Linked DNA regions of Arabidopsis thaliana. The protein of the gene in region 1 interacts with the protein of each later gene in a pairwise test. Each region holds a gene or a part of one and is shown on either strand. Other genes may lie near its edges.

The links. Proteins that work in one complex are often made in the same cells at the same time.
Region 2: the proteins of TBL36 (region 1) and ABCB6 interact in a protein complementation assay, tested with the Arabidopsis thaliana proteins (one large-scale study listed by BioGRID).
Region 3: the proteins of TBL36 (region 1) and AT1G08890 interact in a protein complementation assay, tested with the Arabidopsis thaliana proteins (one large-scale study listed by BioGRID).

What each region holds. Positions count from the first base shown.
Region 1 is NC_003074.8:20,081,836-20,088,967, forward strand, and holds TBL36 (TRICHOME BIREFRINGENCE-LIKE 36), read right to left. Parts: upstream 5,133-7,132; 5' UTR 4,911-5,132; coding exon 4,600-4,910; intron 4,414-4,599; coding exon 4,242-4,413; intron 4,157-4,241; coding exon 3,975-4,156; intron 3,818-3,974; coding exon 3,668-3,817; intron 3,587-3,667; coding exon 3,262-3,586; 3' UTR 3,136-3,261; downstream 1-3,135. Other genes in the region: AT3G54240 (alpha/beta-Hydrolases superfamily protein), read left to right, coding at 1-310; AT3G54250 (GHMP kinase family protein), read right to left, coding at 633-855, 960-1,084, 1,153-1,201, 1,301-1,458, 1,537-1,623, 1,889-2,033, 2,194-2,257, 2,341-2,539 and 1 more; AT3G54270 (sucrose-6F-phosphate phosphohydrolase family protein), read right to left, coding at 5,584-5,673, 5,770-5,816, 5,980-6,166, 6,320-6,610, 6,693-6,887, 6,985-7,086. UniProt on the Arabidopsis thaliana protein: May act as a bridging protein that binds pectin and other cell wall polysaccharides. Probably involved in maintaining esterification of pectins. May be involved in the specific O-acetylation of cell wall polymers.
Region 2 is NC_003071.7:16,478,417-16,488,161, forward strand, and holds the start of ABCB6 (P-glycoprotein 6), read right to left. Parts: upstream 6,624-9,745; 5' UTR 6,412-6,623; coding exon 6,010-6,411; intron 5,684-6,009; exon of another isoform or gene 5,440-5,683; intron 5,306-5,439; coding exon 5,251-5,305; intron 5,137-5,250; coding exon 4,961-5,136; intron 4,848-4,960; coding exon 4,647-4,847; intron 4,073-4,646; coding exon 3,813-4,072; intron 3,716-3,812; coding exon 3,405-3,715; intron 3,290-3,404; coding exon 3,069-3,289; intron 2,977-3,068; coding exon 2,636-2,976; intron 2,467-2,635; coding exon 1,682-2,466; intron 1,583-1,681; coding exon 1,341-1,582; intron 1,063-1,340; coding exon 1-1,062. Other genes in the region: AT2G39490 (F-box family protein), read right to left, coding at 8,735-8,929, 9,006-9,164, 9,239-9,745. UniProt on the Arabidopsis thaliana protein: Probable auxin efflux transporter that contributes, together with ABCB20 and in a FKBP42/TWD1-dependent manner, to the regulation of leaf position and morphology, internode distribution, roots development, and inflorescence organization, probably by modulating auxin repartition.
Region 3 is NC_003070.9:2,845,018-2,853,393, forward strand, and holds AT1G08890 (Major facilitator superfamily protein), read left to right. Parts: upstream 1-3,131; 5' UTR 3,132-3,356; coding exon 3,357-3,488; intron 3,489-3,719; coding exon 3,720-3,782; intron 3,783-3,893; coding exon 3,894-3,983; intron 3,984-4,112; coding exon 4,113-4,172; intron 4,173-4,270; coding exon 4,271-4,336; intron 4,337-4,442; coding exon 4,443-4,508; intron 4,509-4,592; coding exon 4,593-4,668; intron 4,669-4,778; coding exon 4,779-4,843; intron 4,844-4,934; coding exon 4,935-5,027; intron 5,028-5,119; coding exon 5,120-5,200; intron 5,201-5,459; coding exon 5,460-5,544; intron 5,545-5,661; coding exon 5,662-5,705; intron 5,706-5,797; coding exon 5,798-5,860; intron 5,861-5,951; coding exon 5,952-6,011; intron 6,012-6,099; coding exon 6,100-6,153; intron 6,154-6,260; coding exon 6,261-6,320; intron 6,321-6,419; coding exon 6,420-6,534; intron 6,535-6,877; coding exon 6,878-6,999; 3' UTR 7,000-7,253; downstream 7,254-8,376. Other genes in the region: BON3 (Calcium-dependent phospholipid-binding Copine family protein), read left to right, coding at 52-189, 343-507, 622-735, 825-921, 1,015-1,121; H2AXA (Histone superfamily protein), read right to left, coding at 2,127-2,348, 2,453-2,659; AT1G08900 (Major facilitator superfamily protein), read left to right, coding at 7,461-7,586, 7,699-7,761, 7,889-7,978, 8,093-8,152, 8,254-8,319. UniProt on the Arabidopsis thaliana protein: Sugar transporter.

The DNA of each region.
Region 1 (7,132 bases):
TTACAAGAACCAAACAACACAACAAGGGACACACGAATCACTTGACCGAGACCTGATTGTTGGATTTGGGAAATGGAGTTTTGACCCTATGAAGATCGAGAATCCGTTCCCTAAGGGTGAAGGTTCGGTACATATGTGGCAAGGGGATGATGATCGGCTCGTCCCGATACAACTACAAAGGATCATTGCTCAGAAACTAACTTGGATCAAGTATCATGAGATTCCAGGTGCTGGTCATATTTTTCCGATGGCTGATGGGATGGCAGAAACTATCTTAAAAGAACTCTTGCCTATTCCTCAATCATCTTAAATTCAATTTTACATATGTTTAGATAATCAAAAAAAAAGTTGTACAGTTTGTCTCCACCCCAAAAAAATAGTATTGCTCTGTTCCTCATGAATAAATTTCATTTCATTTTATTTTTTTGCGTCTTTTAAAGTATTTACTGCAGCGCAGTAAAAAGATTTTTCTCTGGTAAAACAAAACCAATGAATTTCTTTTATTTGGAAATAGGAAAGCTAATAGTTAGATGACAACGTACCTGCACCTATTCTGCCACATATATCGTATCTTAAACTTGCAGTTAAAGGAGATGCTAATCATAATAATTAGTTTGAAGCAGAGAGAATGCTCACTTAGGAAGGCCTGTTTCAGGATCGAGAAGGGCTTGAGTTTGGTCGTGAAGCACGATGGGACCTTTTCCAGGTCTAGTGCAGATAAAATAACTGACTTCTCCTTTTTGATCCTGAGATCCAATGTTGTCTTTAATTTCAGGTGGAGGTTGCAGATTCTCTACACCACTTGCTCCATCTAATCCTGCTTCTTTTAGAATTGAATTATCGCCCACTACGTAACTGGTAAATAAAGAAACCAAAATCATTACAAACAGCTTTTTAGTCAATTTTAAAACTCATAGAAAACCGCAGTTAAACGGATCACACATTGTTCTGTGTCTCACCTCTTCATATCAGTGTCTGACTTAGGGGGAAAATAGTACAGAAGCCCCTGGAGCAATTGGACTGCGACCTTTCTGTTGCGTGCAATCAGTACAGCATTTGGACCAGCATCAAATGTGTAAGCAACCTGTACAGATTTACATTTTGAGTTATTAGTTGTTTTCAAAAGGTTGAGTCAAGACACTAGAACTTTACCTGTGGTGTCCCTTCAGAACGGTTCCACTTTTCAACTAAGCTAATTATTCTGGAAAAGCAGATAACAGTTTGATATATTAGAATAAATAAGGGTTTGATAACAAATAAACTGAAGCAGCATATAGAAATATGTCAAAATAGAGAATACCTGTGTGAAGTGTCATTCATGTAGAATATGGGTGGAGATGTATCCAGACAAACAGCATGAAACTGATTACTATCTGTACATGTCAATTGTGTAAACGATGCAAAGTCTCGATTTTTTATAGCTTCCTCCATTTGCAAAATCCGTTTTGGCACAACTTCCTATAGATAGAGAAAAAACAAAGGATGAAGTTTAATAGGTAATACAGAAGTTCATTAAACATCAAGAACAGAACGTACTTTTGCTCTATGCTGTAAAAGCAAACTTGTCTCAACACTTTCACGCATTCCGGAGGTACTGCTCGTTTCCTTCTGCCGTGAACTCACCTGTTATAAAAAGTTTGAATGAAGGCACTAAATTTTAACAGATTTCTGACCATTCGAACTTGTCCATAATGCTATATTCACACGTTGAAATAGAGCAACTCAAAATCTTGTCGTGGAAATACTTATTTATATATCTCGTTCAATCAAATAGTATGACGACAGTAAAAGTAACATATGGTTAATTTGAAAAACAGCATGATCTGGAAGATGGGAGAGTCGGAGTAATCCTGCCAAAAAGTCACAATATTTTTTAAAAGAGCCATACCACAGCAATGATGATAACAAGATCATCCCAATGCTTCTCATCTGCCAGTTGAACTGCAACGCTGTCACTTCCATCTTCTTTGCTTCCCATTGTCCACTTGACAAATCCACCAAATAAACTCCGGCAAGCACTTCCTGAACCTTGCCTACATGAGCAAACAGAAATCAAACCATGAATATCAGTACCATTTAATTCCTAGAGGAGTGTCAGATTTCACTTCACTATCACAACTCATGCATTAGTAGATGACTATACATAAATCAAAGCATTGATATATAGTGCAAGGAAGTCCACTACATAGGTACCTGGCTATTGCAGAAAGATGGCTTGGATCTTCATCTACATTCATCAACTTTGCAAGAGAAAAAACTGTAGGCAAAAAAAACAGTTTGACATAAACTACAAGCCATTCTCAAGCTCATAATCATCAACAGAGAGAAAAAGCAGAATACCTAGACAAGCAAATCCAGCAGCTGAAGATGCTAAGCCAGCAGCAGTAGGGAAGTTATTATGAGAAGCAATATGTAGATTCAATTTCTCCCAATCTTTCTTCCTTATCTTGATCCCCTTTTCCATGTCTTCAACATCACCAGCACGACCTCGTATTTCCCTCAAACAATTTTGGTACCTACTTCCAGAAAGAGATATTTCCTACACTAACATGAAACAACAACAACAACAAAAATCTTTGTAATTCGATAATTGGAATCTCAGCAAAAGGAGAGAGATCGTGATGGGAAATGAAGCGAGTGTACCTTGCCATTGAGCCACATTCGATCCCGATCAAAAGCAGGACTAACGGCAACAGTGGTGACTGTGCAGAGATGATCAGGATCAAGAGTTACGCTAATGCTATCGTTAACGGGGAGAATCCGAACCTCATCTCTCTTTCCCCAATACTTAATCACCGCAATGTTCGTCGGAGTTTGCGCCGTCACCATGAACACCCATTTCTCCGTCGCCATGTGAATCTCCAAAAGAGATCTGCAGCTTCAAAGTAGTTGAAAATGAAAGCGACGGAGAATACGACAGAATAATGATGACTCATTGCCTTTACAATTTTAAAAATATTATTTTATTCAAAAATTGAGAACTTCACTAACTGTAAAACTCTAATCAAATGGTTATTGCCATTTTGATGAAAACACCAAAACTTAACCTAAAACGTTTTAGGAAAAAAATTGAGTTAGGTAAGAAATAACCAAAACACGAAAATCATTGTGATGCATGAACTTTATGCTTAAAGGCCTTTGAGTTGTCTTGTCTTTGATATTGGGATATTTGTTAGCTGGGAAAGGATATGTAATATATAAACCACTGATTCATATAAGTAACACCATTGTTCATGAGTAAAAACAGACTCTTATTATAGCTCATACAGCATTGGTTAAGATAATTGAAGAAAGCATCTCATTCCAAATATCCGGGACACCGGGCAAGCACCAATGACTGCAATCTGATGAAGGTCCAGCGATACGATGGTGCTTCTCTTCCTCGTGCATTGCTCTCTTGAACACCGAAGGATGACCGTCTCTTCTATACGCAGACATTGTTGTGATATCGTATAAATACACTCGGTATTTCATTGTCCTTAGCACTTTGTTCAACACTCTTGACTGTTGAGGCACGTGGGGTTTGGTGGAAGAAGATAAAGAAGGCAAGGGATGTTTCTGGTTGTAGCACATCTGACCACTCTCTCTGCCAAGAATTTATGTACATGAATTAATGGTGTCCATTTTGTATATATGTTGAGATTAAGAGGAGAATATAAGAAAAAACCTCGGTGAGACAGTGCGGAAAATGACTTTTGTTTTGGATGGATCAAGATTTATCTCAACCCATTTAGCCCATGTGGTTAGTCCTCTCTCATAAGCAACCATTGGGTCCATAGCTTTGAAGATCTTATTCCCATCCATGTAATAATCCCACCTAAAACATCAATAGCTTGCGTTACTGTCACAAATCCCAAATCTGATGTAAAATGAGACACAATAACAAATACAATGAACATAGACGTCTATGAACCGTTATACACTAATCATTTGCTTTTGAAGGAAAGATGTAAGTGTTTATTCAGATGACTTACGAACTCCATCTCTGAGAGTGAGTCCACCAGTGAGCGGAATCGAATACAAGAACATCTACACCACGCCAATATCTAGCATTGTCTTCGATTGAGTCCAAATGTAACACCCTTTTACGGTCAACTCCTCTCTTGAGTTCCACAAGCAGAGGAGCCCAACAAAACTCAATTGATGTCTCAAAATCCTGTATAGTAACCAAATTTAATAGTTGCATCTACTAACCAATGATGTATATGTGATTCAAAAGGAGATTTGTGATTATTAATTACCAGAGAATGGAAAGACATCGTAGGACCATTGTAAGTGAGCTTCTTACGATGAGTGGGAAGAACAGACTGTACTAAGCAGACAAGAGATTCCCACTGGTTTCTCATCATTGAATCTCCAACCAGCATTATTCTTTTTCCTCTCATTTTCCCAAGAAATTTCAATGCGTCAAACCTAAACACCATCATGGAAAGAGCCACTATTTTGGTTAATATTAATGTCTCTTTCCCATTTTTCATTAGTCAATTTATTCATCTTGCAATTAACCATGCAAAGCCAATATAAACCAACTTTTTTACTTGATGAGACAGAAATTTTAAAAAGAAGTAATGTAAGAAGTAAGAGGAGTGTGGAGTGTGCCTTGGTAGTGAACAAGCCTTAGGGATCCATCTCCATTTCTGGTAATAAGAGTCGGGTCTTCCATTTCTTTGGCAACTTAGTGCAGAACTCAGATATGGACAGCTTGAATCATAGAGCGGATACGTTTCATCGAACGTCCATTTCCCCACCGAGTAATCACACCTCTCCTCTCTTCTTTCACGCCTCGTCTGCAAGGCGTTGAGTGGATCATCGTCCCCTACTAGCCATAACTCATCAAACTGAGACAAAACTACTTTGCCAAGGATGAGACACAAAGATAAGAACAAGACTCGAGTCTCTGAGGTAGCCATTTGACCAGGAAACTGAGCAGTGTGGGCTTGGAGAAAGAAATAATATAAAGAAGATGGGCAACAAAAAGTGGATAAAGTGAAAAAGGGCGTTAATTACGGAAAGTGGTGGTAATTAGTAATTAGACTTATGCTTGAAATCATGTCCCGTGACTTGCGTCTCCTCTTCTCTCCATCATATCATTTTTTTATAAAAACAGATTACAGTATCCAAGGCGGGATTTGTGAGTTTGGTGGAGCGTTTTGTATATGGTTTAAAAAATCGAAATAGTTTCTCAACAAAAACAAACAGAAATAGTAGAAAACAATCCATATAAACCAGAAAAAAGAATTGCAAATCAAACACAATGGTAGGTTTTGTAAGACTAAAGAAATGTAGGTTTTGTTGTAGAGACCCAAAACTCTCCCTGCCCTCAAAAGGTCATGAACAGACCAAATTCAGGACCCAACCTTCCTTATTAATAGTTTTAAGTTAACCCAAATATGTAAAAAAGTATTAATGAAACGAAACCAAGACATGGCAACACCTTCTTCAGCTTTTAGTATCCTTCATGCTTTATCAAACTCACACCATCCCCAAACAAACATAACACAAAACAAACACTATGCTCTTTGGTTAGCTTCTGTCCCAAACAGATGTCATCTTTAGTATGTCAGTCGAGATTAAGATAATCCTTTAGAAAATCCATTTTTCTTGATCATCTGAAGAAGATTCATCTAACCATGATTGGTGGATGTGCATCCACGTCAGCCTTTGCTTTTCCTCCTTTCAATTTTAACCCATTTTCAGTTATTTTTTTCCAATATTATTTAACCAATCTAATCGTTTGAAATCTTAAAAGGATCATAAATCAAGGTTTACCTTATAACTCAGTAAGACTTTTGTTGAACAAGACCGTACTTTTCCCTCTGTAAACACGAGCTAGACATTAGAACATGGAAGCAAACTTCTACAGTATACCCTTATGATGAGAAATCAAACAAATCAGTTGATCGTATTTTCTGCTAAATCATTTCCTAGCTCGATAAGTCACAAGTATAAGCCATGTAATTGAAGAACAAGATTTCTTACCAGATAACTCATGCTTTACAAATTTTGCAAGCCATGTATCTGAACTGATATGAGAAGACGTAACATTATCCAACCAAATGCGAAACTTCTTTTCCTTCCCATCACCGTATAAATTTTCCATCTCATCTATCCATTCATGTATCGGTTTCTCCACTCCAGACGGATGAACAAAAATACCAAGTGGACTCTGAAACATTGCAAAAGCATAACAATTACGTCAACTAATAAGTCTACACAACACAAGCAATCAAGAACATCTTCAAAATTATCAATTTGAGCACTTGAATTTCCATTACGTTAGATGCTAGAGAGCTTTTTTTTGTCAAATAAACACACTTACAGAGAGCGATTTCAAATTCTGCAAGTACTTGTCAGACTTTTCCACCTCTCCACAACGCCATCTCTCATAAAACAAATAAAACTGAACAACCTCATGAGCAGGATTCAAACTTTCCCCATGGAAATTTTCAGTGTCCATAACATCTCTAGGAGAGACATTTGGTCCCAAATTAAACCTCTGAATAGCTTCTATCATACCAGCTCCACACCTCTCAGACGCATGAAATATTTTTGGGTTGTCCTTTGCATTTTCTTCATACCATTGCAATAATTCTTCATGCGAATTGCTAACCTTAAACAGTAAAAATATAAGCACAATCACTCACGCGTAGTCAAGTATGATCGAACCTAAAAAAAAGTAGTTGGGAACTAACCATTACGCCATATACGTCAGAAATGTTGAAAAGCTCAGCATCATTTCCAGAGTCACCACAAACAAGTGTGTTAGAAGGCTGCTTGCCTTCAATATCCAACTTGTCAAGTAGATATGTCAAAGCACCTTGTTTGCCAGCTCCTCTTGGTAATACATCAAAAGCATATCCATTACTATAAACCAGCTTCACATCCACCTATAATGAATTTTACTGTCATCAGCACCAAAAGTAACAATCTATGATAAGAATGTAGCCATCAAGCTCACATAAAGAGTACACACAAAAATCTCACCCCACGCTCCTCTAATATCCCTGGAAGAACCTTCATTATTTCAACAGCGTCTTCTCTTCCCACGAAAAAACTCACTTTGTGCTCTTCTTGGCTCTTGTCTGGCTATCATAGACAACACACAGAAAAAAAAAAAAAAAGAGATTTAGAA
Region 2 (9,745 bases), on another chromosome or scaffold:
TATCAGAATTGTTGTTTTGTTCCCCATTATCAATGTATCAAGAGCTTCCTGCACAACACGGCTCGACTCGGATTCGATAGATGAACTCGCTTCGTCAATCAACAGTATTGGAGCATTCTTCAGCACTACCCGAGCTATAGCGATTCTCTGTTTTTGTCCTTGGGTAAGCTCAACACCTCTCATCCCGATATGTGTGTCGTATCCGTGAGGTAAGCTGCTGATGAAATGGTGGGCATTTGCAATCCTTGCTGCTTCCTTCATCTCAGCTTCACTTGCATTGTGCCTTGCGTATATAATGTTTTCTCTGATCGTTGTGGAAAAGATTATGGGTTCCTGTTGAATCAGACCCATATGGCTTCTTAACCATCTCAAATTATATGACTTCAAGTCTCGCCCATCTAATAAGACCTGACCAGCAACTGGGTCGTAGTATCTCTCGATCAACGATATTATTGTGCTCTTTCCAGAACCAGAAACACCAACCACAGCTACTGTTTGTCCGCCATTGACTTTGAGACTGAAGTTGCTTAGTACTAACACTTCCGGGCGGGTTGGGTAGCAGAAGTCGATGTTTTTCAGTTCAATGCTTCCATACACGTTAGGCGGACTAAGAGCCGAGGTATCATCAGGTTCGATTGTAGGAACTCGATCTATTATTTCAAAAACTGAAGCGAGAGATCTACGGCGCTTGAGAATGTAAGGTGCTAATCCGAATGGCTCCACAAGAGCAAATGTAGCAAAGGAGAAGACCATGTACTCGGTTAGAGCTGTAGACAATTTCATATATCTGCGGTCTACTGATAACGCGGTGTACCACAGGAGGAGCGCATTACAGGCGAAGAGAAGAAACTGTGAGAAGCCAAACGCAAAGCCAATAGCCATCCCATGGAAAAAGCTCTGCCTGAGTATCCGTTGGAGTTGCAGTCTGTAGAGTTCCATCACCTTGTTGCCGGCACAGAACGCGACAACAGTATATATGTTTCTGACAGCATCCTCGAGTACTAAGGACGCCTTTCGATGCATCTCCTGGATGCCCTTTGAGAATCCAGCAAGCCAAAGTTTCTGGAAATTTTATAATGTTGTTAGAATTGCAGAACAGGCGAATACTTCCAAGCTAAGTGCATGAGGATAGGATGACCAAAATGAGGTATAAAGTCAAATTCACATCTTAAATCGCTACTTGAACTGGAAACCTTTTGCATAAATTAGACGCACATTTTGACTGAGGGAAGCATGTGACTACTAAACCGGAATCGGGAACAAAAAAAAAAACATAAGAAAATAATTTCAAGCGGTCTTCTTGAGGCTTTGTTGGGGAAGATTGAAGGAACAAAACAAACCTGGGCAATGGCAGAAAGAGTAAGTACTGGCAAAGTCGCTAATGCAACAAGGGCCAAACGCCAACCGAGCAGCAGCCCAATAAGAATGGCAACGATAACAGCAAAACTATCCTGAATAAATATGGAAAGCCTGTTGCTGAAGGCAGCTCGGACAAAAGTGGCATCATTTGCTAGGCGCATGGATAATGTATCTGGACTGTTCTCTTCTTCGTCATACCATCCAACTTCATTACGCAGCATTGCTATCACATCAGATAAAGTCAATAAGTTAAGTGAAAGTAGTAAACATGTAGTGAAGTGAGTTAACAGTGAGTTAACAATGAAGAAAAATATGGCAGTACCTGAGAACATCATTCGCCGCACTCTCTCAGTCATTTTCTCCCCCATAATACCAAAGTAGAAGTGCTGTAAGAAATTGGCAACAACTGTCACTATTCCCATGCAGGCAATGATCAAACACCACTTGTCAACCTCTTCACGCAGGTGGCTTCCCTTGCTCGTATAGTATGTCGTCACTACTAATGCAATAACATAAGCTAGAAGAGGATTGAAAGAACCAAAGATTGCAGCACCAATACTCCCTAATACAGCGTATAGCCACTCTGGAAAACTAAGCTGTGCCAACCTCCAAAATGAAGGTGGCTCCTTGTGTTGACCGTCCTTGGCCACCTTAACACTTGCTGAAGTGTCATCTGAGTGACCAAGAGGGCGGCTAAAAGTCTGTGAATGAGAGCGCTCATTTTGGGGATCTGATATCAAAAGGGGTGATATAGGGGACTCCGGATCTGAACCATTTGATTTCTGACGTTGTGGACACTGAATGTCAATTTTTGGTAATTCTGGTAACCGCATCTCGAAACTATCTTGTCTTTTGATGGTGGGTTCCTTCTCACCAACATCCAACGACGAGCCATTTTCTCCCAGTTTCTCTGGTGCAGGGCTATGATCATTGGGCGATTCTTCACTATTAAAGCACAATTCCTGGGAGCGGAAAACATTATGACCTCTCTGAAGAGATGGAGACTTAGCCATTTTGGGCGATGATGGTTCTTGGAAGCCACGACCAGCTGAAGAATCCCTCTCAGCCTGAAACGCAGCAGAATCGTTGTAGTTCCTAACTGGCATCCTGCAAGGCAACACGAGTTCCATAAACAAGTAGAATCATCAAAGTCCACCCTTCCATAGATCATTAAATCAAAAGCAGCCAAACAAAATTCTCAACCACATGGACTTTACTACACAACAGACTTTACAAGTTGTTAGATATGTATATGGTCTTGGCTGGAAAATCATACCGTCTGGGTAGCTTTGTTGCTTCTTCACACTTCAGAAGCTCAGCATACAAATTACCAAGGTTGATTAGTTCATCATGCGTACCCATTTCAAGTAGCTGGCCCTCCTCCATTACAGCAATATAGTCAGCATTTCTTATCAGACTTAGTCGTCGGGCTATTATTATGGTAGACCTTCCTAACATTAGAAGATCAAGGGCTTCTTGGACAACTCTTTCAGCTTCAAAGTCTAGTCCTCCAGTGACCTCGTCAAGCAAAAGAATTGTTGGATCTAAGAGTACGGCTCTAGCAATCGATAGCTTTATTTTCTGCTCCTCTGTCAACGTTAAACCAGTCTTTCCAACCTAGAGGACAAACAAGTCATTTTCAACTTCTAAAAATGAGAATAGCAACAAAAACACAATTCATAACTACAAACTTTTCAGTGGATAGTTACCTGAGTTTCATATCCTTTTTCAAGTGAGCTGATAAATGTGTGTGCATGTGCTTTTTTAGCTGCTTCCTCTATCTGATCCAGAGTAGCATCTCGGCCGTATGCAATATTCTCTCTTATGCTCAGACTAAGCAAAGCAGGCTCCTGTGTCACCAGGCCTATTTGGCTTCTCAGCCACTCTAATTTTAGATTTTTAATATTTTCTCCATCAAGTAGAACTTCTCCTGTATAAGAGAAAACCACAGATCTAATCAGTTACTAATAGTATCCTTCGCAGGTGAGTATCCAAAGGGGATTATTCAGAAAAACTGATACATCTTAAATTACACATCATAGTACCTAGTGTAGGATCATAAAACCGTTCCATTAGAGGAATGATACTGCTTTTTCCAGAACCATTTCTACCAACAAGTGCAACAGCTTTTTTAGCCGGCACAGTAAGGTAAAATCCACTCAAGATTGGAATTTCAGGTCGTGACAAATAGCTGAAATATACATTCCGAAACTCAATATTTCCTTGGACAGCAGACAAAATAATTCCCTCTTGATTAGTCCCAGAGGATGAACGACTTATCATCTCAAAAAGCCTATACGCCGCAATTCTTCCTTGATCAAATGAATAAAAGTTTGTAGCCGCTTGATTTAAACCCCTGCACAGCACAATATGAATTCAATTAGCAAACAGACACTGGAGAAAAAAAACAAAAAAGAAGAAGATAAGAGAGTAAAGTAGAATCGGAAGCTTACAGCCCACTTAAAATAACAGCAAAAAGGGCTGTTATGATCTCTCCACCATTTGCTCTATGATGAATAACAAAGAACCGACCAATCCAAAGTTGCATAGCACATGAACATATAGCAAGCCCATAAGTAAATCCAAGTCCAAGTCCTTGCACAAGACTAATCAATATACCATATCTCAGAGTTGCTTGGAGAGAAGTTGCATAAGAGTATTTTGCAAGAGTTTCATTTGTAAAGGCATACAAAGTCCTAACATAAGAGACTGCCTGCACATATAGAATAAAACCTTTTGAGCGTTAGAAAATATATTCAGATGCGATCTGACACTATAAACAAACCAGAATGAAGAACTCAAAAAATGGACCAGTAGGGGATGCGTTTCAGAAGAACTTGAACTCATAAGACTGACGTGGGCATGTAATTGCCATGCATCCAAGTCGATGCAATATCCAAGTTATGGATGCTAAGATTAATTATACATGAATCCTATTATAACAAAACCGAAGCCATGACTTGGGCAATATGTTGAGATGAATTTTAATTCACGATTGCAGTCGCATTAAACCAAGATAAGTAACCTAAACAGTCCGACCTGCCTATTACAATCTAACCCTCATAGATTCTGCCTAAAATTTTCTGAACTTAAACAAGTTTTGATTCAAATAAGAGTACTGTAAAAGATATCAAATTTTGCACAGCAAAAATTAACTTTGATGTTCACAAGTCAAAGAAGTCTCTCTGTTATAACTCTACTGCTTAAACATCATTGTCATTGTCGGAAACATGTCATTTAATGCTTGCAACAGAATTCGTCAATCAAATTGCGCGAATTTCTAATACCTGTTCAGCAATGCTGGCTGCTTCAGCATATGCATCTTGAATATTCTCAGCAAGTCTGTGGAGAAATATATTTGATATGCCTCCAGCAGCAACAATGAAAGGACCGGTGGCTAACGTAATGAGGGCAATTTCCCAGCAGTTGACAAAACCAATAATAAGACCACTGATAAATGTCGCCATGTTATGAATGTAATTCCCAACCTGTAAAGTCCAAGATCAAAAAGATTAAGGAAATCCATGAAGATGTATCATTCTTTGCAAAAATAAAGATATTCAATAGGAAACTTGAAACCAAATTCAAAAGTGAAACATACTTTTTCACTTAGAGCCGACTGAATAAGTAGAACATCACTCAGTACTTGGCTTACTATATCCCCGTTATTCCCATATGTATCAAAGAAACTCATATCCTGATTTAGTAGCACTTGGACGTACTTTGACCTGATCACAGCAGTCTGCCTCTCTCCAGTCAGTATCCAGCAAGACACCTCTATAAAAAAGGACAACTAATTATGGTGACGGATAATAGCATCATTGCATTAGAGGAAAGAAGGACACAACTAGATTATAATATATGTAAGGATTTTAGCAAAGGTGAACTTACCAATCCAACCAGATATGAAAACACCTCCAGCGATATATACAATGGTCAGCGAAAGCTGCACAAAGGGACTCAATAATTTAGACGAGCACATTATTTCAGGATTGTTGCCACTGTTTCAAGATTCCAGATAAACAGGTTTGCAAACAGATAAGACCTCGAATAAAAAAATGGACATTCAGAAGACCATACATAGAAATCCCTAGAGGTGAGAAATACGAAAGCATAGACTTAGAAGATAGGTTGTCTTCCTCTGAGCATGCATTTGAGTAAAAGAACACGTTTGATGATTCAAAGTAGGCTTCCCAGCTAAGTCAAGAACAGCTAGCTTCCAGGTTAATATGCCATCTTAGAAGCAAAAACTACATGAAAACTGGTATACTTAACTAGTCCTCCAAACAAAAGCACATAGGAATCATGAAACAGAAAACCTACTAACAAACCAACAAAGATATAGAGCAAAACAATCAAAGGATTTCACACTCTCATGTTAACTTCTTGAACTAATACATTTATGACCAAAGAGTGCCACAAAGTTTGTCGAGATAACAGACTTAACCTTAATGTGGCAACCCGCTAAAATTACAATCCAGCTCGGAAGGAGAAACAAAGTTCCAAAATTTCATCACTAAATTATATACTAAACTGAATCAATAGCTCCAACACCTAATAAATTATCCAAATTCCATATCCCCTGAAGCTCACTCAGCTAGGAAATTAGAAATTTTGAAAAGCCACAGAAGCGTATTCAAGCTGACCTACCTCGAGGAGACGATTGAACTGATCATCACTTATCAGATGATCCGAATCAGTGGGAAATGCAAGAACCTGAACAATTTTGGCGAAGTAGTGCAAGTAAACAATAAGCGCAGTACCATGAGCAGCAGCAGCAACGGATCCAAAAACCATAAGAACCCAATCAAAGCGATCAGCACAAGCAAATAGCTGAGAGAAAGGAACAGCAGCAGGAGGAGGCTCCATCTCCTCCGGCTCCTCCATTTCCTCCTCATCATCCGCTTGCGCCGCTGTTCCTGTACCACCGTGCTCAGCACCAGGATCAAGGTAAGGAGATGGAGACTCAGGAGGCTCGGAAACTTCAGAAACAGGAGTTAACGGTTGTATATGCGGCGGAGACCAACCAAACAAACCTCTCGAAATCATCATAGCTACGACGGGGGGGAATTATATCACCTCCGTCTCGTGAATTAAGAAACCCTAGCTTTAGAGAATTCTTCGGATTTTGAAATTTTCACCGGATCTGTTAAAAAGCTTAGGAAGAAAAGTCTTGGAATCGGCGAAGAAATCGTTTCCGGTGAGATACTTTTTTTTTTTTTTTTTTCCTTTTTGTTAGTTTTGATTTTATTTTGTTTTGTTTTGTTTTTAATTTTTGGGTTTTCGTGAATTATGAAGAAAATGGGTCAAAGAGTCTAAAAAAGTGAAAGACAGACAAGTCTTTGTGTATTTCTGTGTCATCTTACATAAAATTAAATTTTCTTAACACATAGTTTTAATTATTGAATGTGATATTTCATAATAATTAAAAATCAAAAAGTAACGGTCAACTACGGCGACGAGTTTTAAGTTTTGTTTTTTTGTTTCAGATATTCTTCGTTTATGTCTATTTATGCAACGATTATATTATGAGACTTGACTAAATGATATAAGTTGGGTCTAGACACCACTAGACCGGACCAGATTATTGCACTGCAACATTTATTAACGTCTTTGCGTCATTACTTTATATACAGAAGGTAGTTGTCGACAAATATTGAACTGTTTCGGAATCTTTTGGTAACCAATTTTGCTGTATTATTGAAACCTTGTATGATTCGTGCTCTAACCAACCCATGACAATGATGATCACGAGAGTTTCGTTTGATGAAATACTTTTATGTAGTAATTAGTCAAAGTTAAAGATTAATCACCATTAGTTATAAGATTGTAAGAAACTTGAGAAATGTGCGAGGTTGGTTAGTGTGCCGTGGAGAATGCAACAACAGCTGTCTTTGTTTCTTTCTATTTTCACTGTCAAAGAAAGAAGAAAGGTGCGGGTGATAGAAGAGAAGAGTGTTACCACATGTGAGATTAGCTTATATACCTAGTGGGGGCAGGTATGATTGAGGCAGCATGGAGCTTCTTTTTCTGCCAGTGCATTTGATCTGTTCCCTTTTTGCTCATTCTTACACTTTTTTTCTCTCTTTAGCAAAACTGCTCATATGATATAATTTGTTTGGAACTTGACCTTTATAGTTGGGATTATACGTTTTCAAAACAGTTTTACTGTTGACAGATTCAATGAGATAGCTTCTATTTTTCTTTAAATTGGGCCACAACGGGACAGTAGCCCAATTGACTTCATTGCTATAGAAGAGATTCGATTTTGAGTGAGGTTGTACTAGTTCTTGGTGGACTTATGAATGTCACTATAAAATGTGGTCACTTCTTAGATAGTCTGTTTAAAAAAACGACTGAGATCTTGTCATTTTAGTCTAGTAAAATTGTTTGTATAATAATATAGAAGTCCATAGATCGATATTTCTAAACTAAATTTGTACTATATGTTGTACCATGCAATAGTGTGAGTAATGAGTATTCTTGTGCTATATATCATTTTTCAGCATGTTTTATTACACGTGGAACTTGAATAAGTCTTTGTTAGGGTGTCCATTTGAAAGTTTTGTACCACAAGGCCTGTCTGAGCCATTTGGGGTTGGTGTAAAAATGTCCAGTATATTTTTGGCCACAAAATTATTGTTAATTAGAGTGATTGTTTTGTCCACGTTATGTGTCTTCACATCATCCGTTGGATGATATATAACATTTTGTTTCTAAACGTAATTGATTTACTTTAAAAAAAGAACTCAGAGCATTTCGAACTAATTAAGTTGTACTAAGTTTAAGAAAGTAATTCCTTAGCAATATTTTCCGAGGCAATTGTATTTTAACCAAGTCCAACGAGCAAACTTGATGATGTAATCAAAATGGTTTAGTTGGTTTAGCGTTAATTAATCGATTTAAAATGACCTTTTGATGAATTGATGCACGCTTTTCTTTCGTTGACAGCTGAAGTTTCCACACATGCATGCTTTTGTTGAACAGGTCAAAAAAAGAGAAGAAGACACGTACATGGTTTAAAAACGATACTTCACCTAAGCCAAATATTTGGGCATTATAGGTTTAAGTTGCAACTTGCAAGTGTGTACGAGAATTTGGATCCCTTATATATATACACATACTTGCGAAAATCAACTTGATGTTGTTTTAAGTAATTTATCATAGTAAGTACATTACAATAATACATACTGGTGAAAAATCTTTAATCTGTAAACTTGACGTAGCCAAATTTAAGTTCCGTTTACACGAGGATTTCTTGTATAGCAAGAAATGGAATATATCCACGCGTTAAAATGACAGCAGGTTAATTAAAGCATGTTCATACGTGTATCTTTAGACATAACTCTTTTGTCGTTTCCATTCCAAGCCGAAGTCAAGAAATTGAAGACAGTACAAGCAGAGGCTGATCGATACTGACTATCTCTTGTAGAGCAAATATCAGTTGATTCTTATCTTCTTCACTCTTGAATCCTTCCAATTTGACCACTTCTAGATCCCTTAGTACTACTCTTGCATGGTCAGCATTAACACTAACTTCTTCGTTTGAACTATAAGTATTTGAATCGATCTTACAAAATAAATAAAGGTATTAGCACGACGCAAGAACTAACAAAGTAACAAGGTTTTAGGTGTGTAACACTTACAGTAATGAAGAGGCGCTCTATTGATGGACAAAGTTTGAGAAAAGAGATCAAAGAATTAATTTGTTCTTGGTTCATCGAGTTATCGATCCACCGCAATTCTTGTAACTTGTAGAATTGGAATGATCTCCAAGATGATGATATGGACGGTTTGATTACTTCCTATTAACAAAGATAGTAACATATAACTTTCGAATTATCTTAGAACAAAAGAATTTAGAGACTAACTTTGTTACCTCGAACATCCATCTGCATAGTGTAAGAGATTGAGAATTCTTGATGGTCAGCGAGAGAGGACCGATGTCTAACGCGTTGTTGTAATAGCTTGGGCCTTGTGTTACATCGAAAACCGCCTTGGTCAAGTTGAAATGTTCATGAATCTTGATCAAAGGTAGAGATCCTTGGTAATGAAAAGTTTTAAGCTTAAATGATATGATCTCGAGGTATCTCAGCTTCGGGCATCCCGAGATGGACAAGTGAAGAAGCTTAGTTGGTGAATCAATAGTGAGAGAAGTCAATCTCTTACAACGACAAATCTTGAGGCTGTCAAGTAAAGAAAATTCCAAAACCATTGAGGAAACAACCTCATGGGTTAAGGAATTAACGGAGTCTAAACAAAGCGTCTTCACCAAGAAACCGCTTGAGTCCACACGTCTTGGGATCTGATCGTCGATCTCAAGACGCCAGCAAAAGCTCTCTTCTTTCTTAGAACCACCGGAGAAGAAGAAGCTCATATGCATGAC
Region 3 (8,376 bases), on another chromosome or scaffold:
CCCTTGATCTATTGTATGTATAAACATAATTTGGCTTCTGTTTTTTTCCAGGCTATTATGGAAGTAGGAGAGGTCATCCAGTTTTATGATTCTGATAAGCGGTTTCCTGCCTGGGGGTTTGGAGGAAGAACATCGGATGGTTCTGTGTCCCATGCTTTTAACTTGAATGGAGCATCATATGGCGACGAGGTAACTTACGAGACAGAAACTGTTATCTCCCTTTATTATTGGAGCTGATATTGTGTGCATACTGGTGTCCATTATTTGAAAACCATGAAACATTGCATTCTCAAAACTGCATGTTAAGTTTCACATTGCTTCATATTCTCTTTTCGTTTTCAGGTTGTTGGAGTTGAAGGAATCATGGTAGCTTATGCGAGTGCTCTTCGCAATGTTTCTCTAGCAGGACCAACTCTATTTAGCAATGTGGTCGACAAGGCTGCTCATACTGCTTCACAGTCACTCTCACAAAACAGTCCCAAGTACTTTGTTCTGCTCATCATTACGGTAAGAGACTGAACATTCAGATACGTAATGACTTTGGCCCAGTTCAGATCGAATGTGCATCTGTTACTAGTAAATCTATAGCTTCAATGACAAAAAAAATGGATGTGTGAACAGGATGGAGTCCTTACAGACATGGCGGGTACAGTAGATGCATTAGTGAGAGCTTCTGATCTCCCGTTGTCAGTTCTTATCGTCGGTGTGGGAAACACAGACTTCAAACAAATGGAGGTACAAGTTTTGTTTTGTCAAGTTAGGTTTTATATCTGTCTCTTTGCAAATAGTAAACATGCAGTGACTTGACCTTGTAAATATTTCAGATGCTTGATGCTGATAATGGTCGGCGGTTAGAGAGTTCTACTGGTCGAATAGCTACACGGGACATCGTTCAATTTGTCCCTATGAAAGACATCCATAGTGAGTTTTAAATTCCTTATGTACAACGGATAGTGTAAAGTGTTTAGATGCGTTTTGGATTGGTAGTAAATGTTTAATTTGGTGGGGTTGCAGGTGGACTAGTGTCGGTGGTGCAGGCACTTCTAGAAGAACTTCCCGGCCAGTTTCTGACCTATGTCCGTTCGAGAAAGATTAATCCGATCGGAGCTCCAGCAATTTGAGTTCAGCAGCATAGTCTAGTCTCTGTTTTTTCTTGCATAGAATTATTTTGGTGTCACCTTATTACCATAGTTATCATCATGTTCTCAATTTACTTAGGTTGGATTTAAACCGTAAGGTTTGTTAGAAAGAAAGAAACAAAAAACAGAACAGAATTTGCGAAATGTATATATATTTTAGCTTGTTTGCATCACAATAACATGATATAAACCACTGACGGTCTGACGCATCAAAGTAGATACGTTGGTAATATATGAAAATGTTAAATTATTTGCCGTCTTTCAGATAGACGCTGTTGAGCTTTGCATTATTAACGAAGGAAAACAAAAAAAAACATGGGATTCTCAATTGACACATGATTTCAAAATTAGGCAATTAATATTTTTGGAAAAATTAGATTGGAGATGCGGGGGATCGAACCCCGTGCCTCTCGCATGCAAAGCGAGCGCTCTACCATTTGAGCTACATCCCCATTTTGTTAAGTGTTCTGCGCTTATCTTTATTATAACAATTTTCAAGAACTCGATTCTTGGTAAGCAAAAAAAACTGCAGATGAAGGTAATTTAGCGAGCTAATTCAGGTGCGAACCAACAGATGAGGGTAACTTAGTGAAGTTAATTCAGGATTACCATGACTGAGGCAGTTAGGCCCAAAACCTAATGAGTTTTACTCCCTGGGTGAATTAAAAAATGAGTCTGGTTAAATTGAAACATGATCAAAGCAATGTTTAGTATTAGGCTCCATGAGTTGCATGTATCTGCAATAAAGAATCAAGTATGCATAGTTTGTGTTTCAAAATGTTTCTGGGTTGATATATCGATTAATTCAGTTCCATTGATACATGATTCGTTCCGAAATATCATATCATTCACTAATTAAACATACTTAGGCAAAAGCCAAATATACTTAGCTTTAAAACCTAATTTGATCCCCAAAAAACACCATCAGGGTCTATTTTACAAGTTCCGAATCCAAACAAGAGAACTGAACTAAGAAGTCTAAGAACCTCAGAACTCCTGAGAAGCAGATCCAATATCTCCTTTGTTCTTGCCAACCTTGGATGGCAAAAGAGTCTGATGAATATTTGGCAAAACTCCTCCATTCGCAATCGTCACACTTCCCAGAAGTTTGCTTAACTCTTCATCGTTCCTCACTGCAAGCTGAATGTGTCTTGGTACTATACGTGTCTTCTTGTTATCCCTTGCTGCGTTTCCCGCCAGCTCCAACACCTATCAACCCAAACCAAATCAAAATCAAATCAGTACAAGATCCAATTCAGATGTGACCAAATCGAAATTGAAAACCAAATTGGAAGACAAGAAAAATAAATTACCTCGGCGGCGAGGTACTCGAGAACAGCGGAGAGATAGACCGGAGCTCCGGCACCGACACGCTCGGCGTATTTACCGGATTTGAGGAATCTAGCGATTCTTCCGACGGGGAATTGAAGACCGGCTTTAGATGATCGAGAGACGGATTTGGTGGCCTTTGGCTTTCCTCTGCCACCTTTGGTTGTTCCGCTTCCTGCGCCTGTACTCATCGTCTTCTTCGAAATTTAGAACAGATAAACGATTTGATGAGAGTTTGAAGAAATCGAAGAGAAATGACTATTGTAGATGATCTGGGAATTGAGAAGATGAGTGGGCTTTAGGGTTTTGCTCTTCTCTATATGTATAGGCTACTAAGATTGATTGTGATTTGTTAGACTTTAGATCACACGGATTGCCAACGTGGCAGATCATCTACCCTTTCAATTATTATGTGATCTATGGTTCGTACATCTCCTTTTACTTTTTGAAAATAATGTACAAACGAAAAGTGATTTTAGTGAAATAGTCCTCCATTATTAAGCTTTCTATAATTTTAGACCCTGAATCTTGATCTGTTACAAGTTCATATTTTTAATTTACATCAATACATTTATTGTGGATTGATCATCCCAATGTATTGATGGTTATTTAAAAGATGGCCAGGGTTGATCGATTCGGTTTCATATGATTTTAGTTCTATGATGTAACCTTTATTGATCAAGCAACAAGAATAAATCAATAATTTATACGATAGCCGACATAAAGAGATTTCTATTATCTTACTATATATAGTCAACAAATATCTATAACAGTTGTTCACATGGGACACGACCAATGAGTCACTGCCAAATACAAGCTTCAAGAGTGAAGACTATTAAAGAACAGAGAAATACAGGGAAAAGCAATTAGGAGAAGGAACAAAAGAAGATGGAATCTGGAAGTATGAAAACACCTCTGGTGAATAATCAAGAAGAAGCAAGAAGCTCTTCTTCCATCACTTGTGGTCTTCTTCTTAGTACCTCCGTCGCTGTCACTGGCTCTTTCGTTTATGGCTGCGCTGTGAGATTTCATCATCACTCTTTCCTTTTCTTTCATTTGGTTTTCTAGTGTTCCTCATGGATCTCAACTAACATGCCTCAGATTGGAATTTTTATTTTTTTAATCAAAATCTGTTTTGAATTTGGTAATTGTTCAATAGCTGTTTTGTCTCAAAATTGTTATTTGAATATTATGTGATTTTGAGTTGATGTCAACTTGTGGCCTAATTTTGTGCACTATCATAATTTGAAGATGTCATATTCATCGCCTGCTCAGTCCAAAATCATGGAAGAACTGGGACTTTCCGTTGCAGATGTAAGTCATCCATGTGTGTGACCAAATCAATAACTAATTTTATTTTTTACATCGATAATCAATTATTACTCCTAATTTACTAAAATAATGGTCTATTTATATTTTGGCCAGTATTCGTTTTTCACATCGGTAATGACATTGGGAGGAATGATTACGGCCGCGTTTAGTGGAAAAATTGCTGCAGTTATTGGTCGTCGACAGGTAATTAAATTTTGTTTCGTATTCAAATGTTATTATGCCACTGTTTTTTTTTTTTTGTTTTTGATATTGTAGGACCTTCTAAGATGACGTAATATACACGTTATGATTTGTTCATCTCTTTGATCGCAGACAATGTGGATCGCGGATGTTTTCTGCATCTTTGGTTGGCTCGCTGTAGCCTTTGCACATGTTTGTTTCTCCAAATCTCCATCTTTTAAATTTATTTTTCACAAGTTTAGTATTTTTTAATAAAGTTAACATTTCATTTGCTGTGGTTTATTTTCAAGGATAAAATGCTGTTAAATATTGGTCGAGGCTTCTTGGGGTTTGGGGTTGGTCTCATTAGTTATGTGGTAATTAACTTTATCATCTGTTTTGAAAACAAATTATTTGTTACTTTTATAAAGTGTTGATATAGTAATTTCGTTTTACACCATTTGATTTGATCAAAACAAATAGGTTCCTGTATATATAGCAGAAATTACGCCCAAAGCATTTCGTGGAGGATTCTCTTTTTCCAATCAAGTAAGAATGAAACAAATTATATCAAACAGCTTATAATTTCAGAATATTTAATTTATTATTGTTATCTTGCGTTTGAACTTGCAGCTTCTACAAAGTTTTGGGATATCGCTCATGTTCTTCACCGGAAACTTTTTTCATTGGAGAACATTAGCTCTTTTAAGTAACTATATTTTTTCTCTAAATGAACTATATCTCAAATCATAAAAAATTATAATGTGTGTACTTAATTCACATTATTTAACTTATTCTTGATTTTCAATCTATGACTAGGTGCAATCCCATGTGGTATCCAAATGATATGTTTATTTTTTATTCCTGAATCACCTAGATGGCTGGTAATTCACACACTTAAAGTTTGTTTTTTATTTGTTTAATTGGTAATATTATATTTAAAAGGTACAGTCTACATATTAATGTTCATCTTAGGCTATGTATGGTAGAGAACGAGAGCTTGAGGTTACTTTGAAGAGGCTAAGAGGAGAAAATGGTGATATTCTCGAAGAAGCAGCTGAAATCAGAGTATTATTGTTTGTTCCGAAAATACTACTACTACTTTGGCTAACATATACGTATTTTGGTTAACTATTAATTCGGTTTAAAATGTGAAACAGGAAACAGTGGAAACCTCTAGAAGAGAATCTCGAAGTGGACTAAAAGATTTGTTCAATATGAAAAACGCACATCCGTTAATCGTAAGTCTCATCAAATACCTATCATTTATACAAATAATTTAGAAGAGATCGAGTTCTTATCTAGTTTTGTGACCTATTGATGATCAACTTAATAAACAGATAGACATGTATTTATGCGTATGTAGATCTAACATTCTGCCTATACGTATGAATGAAATACTCCCAAGTCCTAACGGAAAAAAATGTTTTAACTTGTTTAGTGAAATAAATAAAGATTAATTTGTTTTTGTTTGTTTATTAATTCGTTGAAAACGATTAGATTGGATTGGGCCTAATGCTCTTGCAACAATTTTGTGGGAGTTCGGCGATAAGTGCTTATGCTGCTCGTATTTTCGACACAGCCGGTAAACCATGATTTAAAAAAAAAAAAAAAAAAAAAAATCATTGGCATGTCATATCTTGTTTGATTTTGTATCGCATTTCATCTCACGATTTTTGAATATATTGTCTTGGGTATTTAGGTTTTCCAAGCGACATAGGAACATCCATCCTTGCAGTTATTTTGGTAAATCAAAACATTGTCTTTTTAGTATTTAACATTTTATAATCGAAAATATAGTATTTCACATTTTCACTACAACTTATTCTTGTTTTTAGGTACCGCAATCTATTATTGTCATGTTTGCCGTCGACCGATGTGGACGCCGACCACTTTTGATGGTAATCATTTCATTACCTTCGTTATATATAATTTGCGTAATTGATTTCCCTAGATAAATATTTTATTTGTGGTTTGAAACTTTTTTTGCAGAGCTCTTCTATCGGTCTGTGCATATGTTCATTTTTAATTGGCCTCTCTTACTATCTTCAGGTTTAGTCATCTTAACTATTTTATTCTTTGTAACTTCGTTTGATTTTTGGTTATTATAGACTAAATATTATTTATCCCCCACAAGCAGAACCATGGTGATTTTCAAGAGTTTTGTTCCCCTATCTTAATCGTCGGTTTAGTGGTACGTGAATGCCAATCTTGTTTCAGTCAATTACTATTTTTGGTTTAATTCATATATTACTTTGTTGAAACCACAACACTAATCAACCAAGTCATACTATATACCAGGGTTATGTCTTATCCTTTGGCATTGGTCTAGGTGGACTACCATGGGTTATTATGTCTGAGGTATTTGTTTTTTTTTTTATTTTAAACTAGAAATATTTCATAATGTAATCATTATCTTTTTTTTTTTTTGGACAACAATTTATTCATTATCTATGGCAGGTGTTTCCGGTGAATGTGAAAATTACCGCCGGTAGTCTTGTAACAGTGTCAAACTGGTTTTTCAGTTGGATTATCATTTTCAGTTTTAATTTCATGATGCAATGGAGTGCTTTCGGTAAATTTCTATCCATTAATTTGACATTTTTGTTTCTTCAGAATATTACACATCTAACACAAAAATGCTTTATTTCGACAGTATTTAATAATTATTACAATAAAATGAAAATAAATAAATAAACAAACAACCAGCTCTTAAAATTGTTTAAAGAGTATAGGGTTATGTATAATCAAATCATGGTAAATATATCTTTTAAATTATTAAAAATACTAAAACGGGAAGATTAGAGAATTTTATGTTAGGAATGTCCCCTCGAATTAATATTTTCATTATATAATAACTTAGATATGAAATTAAAGAGAATGATTATATAGTTATTTTGTTTTATTGGAATTTGCAGGAACATATTTCATATTTGCTGGAGTTTCTCTGATGTCATTCGTATTTGTATGGACTTTGGTGCCTGAGACGAAAGGCCGAACACTTGAAGATATTCAACAATCACTAGGCCAACTTTCATAAATCCAAAGTTGATTCTTTACTCCACAATGCCAGACATTGTTCTTTTATGTTACATTTATAAGTCATGTATTATCCGATTTGGAGGGGGGGGATATGGATTTCCGAATTTTTTTACTTTGATAAATTTTGTCAATATATTTTGTTGACAGAAAAAAGAATAATCAATATACTGTATGTGGTATTATTCTAACAATATTTTTTAAACGTATAATATGATTATGTACCAATATTTATAACCATATCATATGATTATGTACTTTTGTAAAAAAAATTCACACCCCACTTAAAACTTGGTTACTACTAATTGGATCTTGCAACTCAATTTTCTAAATCGCATTACAAAATACTGAATGAGCAAATTAATAAAAGATTAGTCAAATGTGACAACGACCAATGAGGCATGGCCAAATAAAAGCTTGAAGAGACTATTCAAAGTTAAGGATAAGAATCAAAGAAAGAAGATGGAATCTGAAAGACTCGAATCACATCTTCTGAATAAGCAAGAAGAAGAAGCTTCTTCCTTCACTTCTGGTCTTCTTCTCAGCACATCCGTCGTTGTCGCTGGATCCTTCTGTTATGGCTGCGCCGTGAGATCTCTTCCTTTCTCTCTCAATTTGCTATCCACTGATTTTGGATATTACAGTTTTAGAATCCTAATTTCTTCGTGCATAATTTTCATAACTATAACATACTTTGTAGATGTCATATTCGTCGCCTGCTCAGTCCAAAATCATGGAAGAACTGGGACTTTCCGTTGCAGATGTAAGCCCACCTGTGTTCAATGTTCATCATATAGATCAAAATCATTTTTTTCTTTTAAGACTCTCAAACCGGTTCAATAAACCAGACCAGTAACCCGGTTTGAATGGTCTACTTCTATGTTGGCCAGTATTCGTTTTTCACTTCGGTAATGACATTAGGAGGAATGATTACCGCCGTGTTCAGCGGTAAAATCTCTGCTCTCGTTGGTCGTCGACAGGTAATTAGTTATTACTGTTGGACCGGTTCCGGTTTATCTTTTGAATTTTTTTGGATCTTCTATGATGACGTCATTCTTTATGCGTTTTGATTTATTCGTCTGTTGATATCTCAGACAATGTGGATCTCAGATGTTTGCTGTATTTTTGGTTGGCTCGCTGTAGCGTTTGCACATGTTTGTTTCTCCAAATCTCCCTGTTTAAAACTTTCTATATATTTATCTACTCAAATTTTGTGTTAAAAAGTTAACATGTTATTTACTGTGATTATGTGTAGGATATTATAATGCTTAATACTGGACGACTCTTCTTGGGGTTTGGGGTTGGTCTCATTAGTTATGTGGTAATTAACTTTCTCTCCCCTTTTCATTTAGACAAAATTTCTAGTCCTTTATTAGAG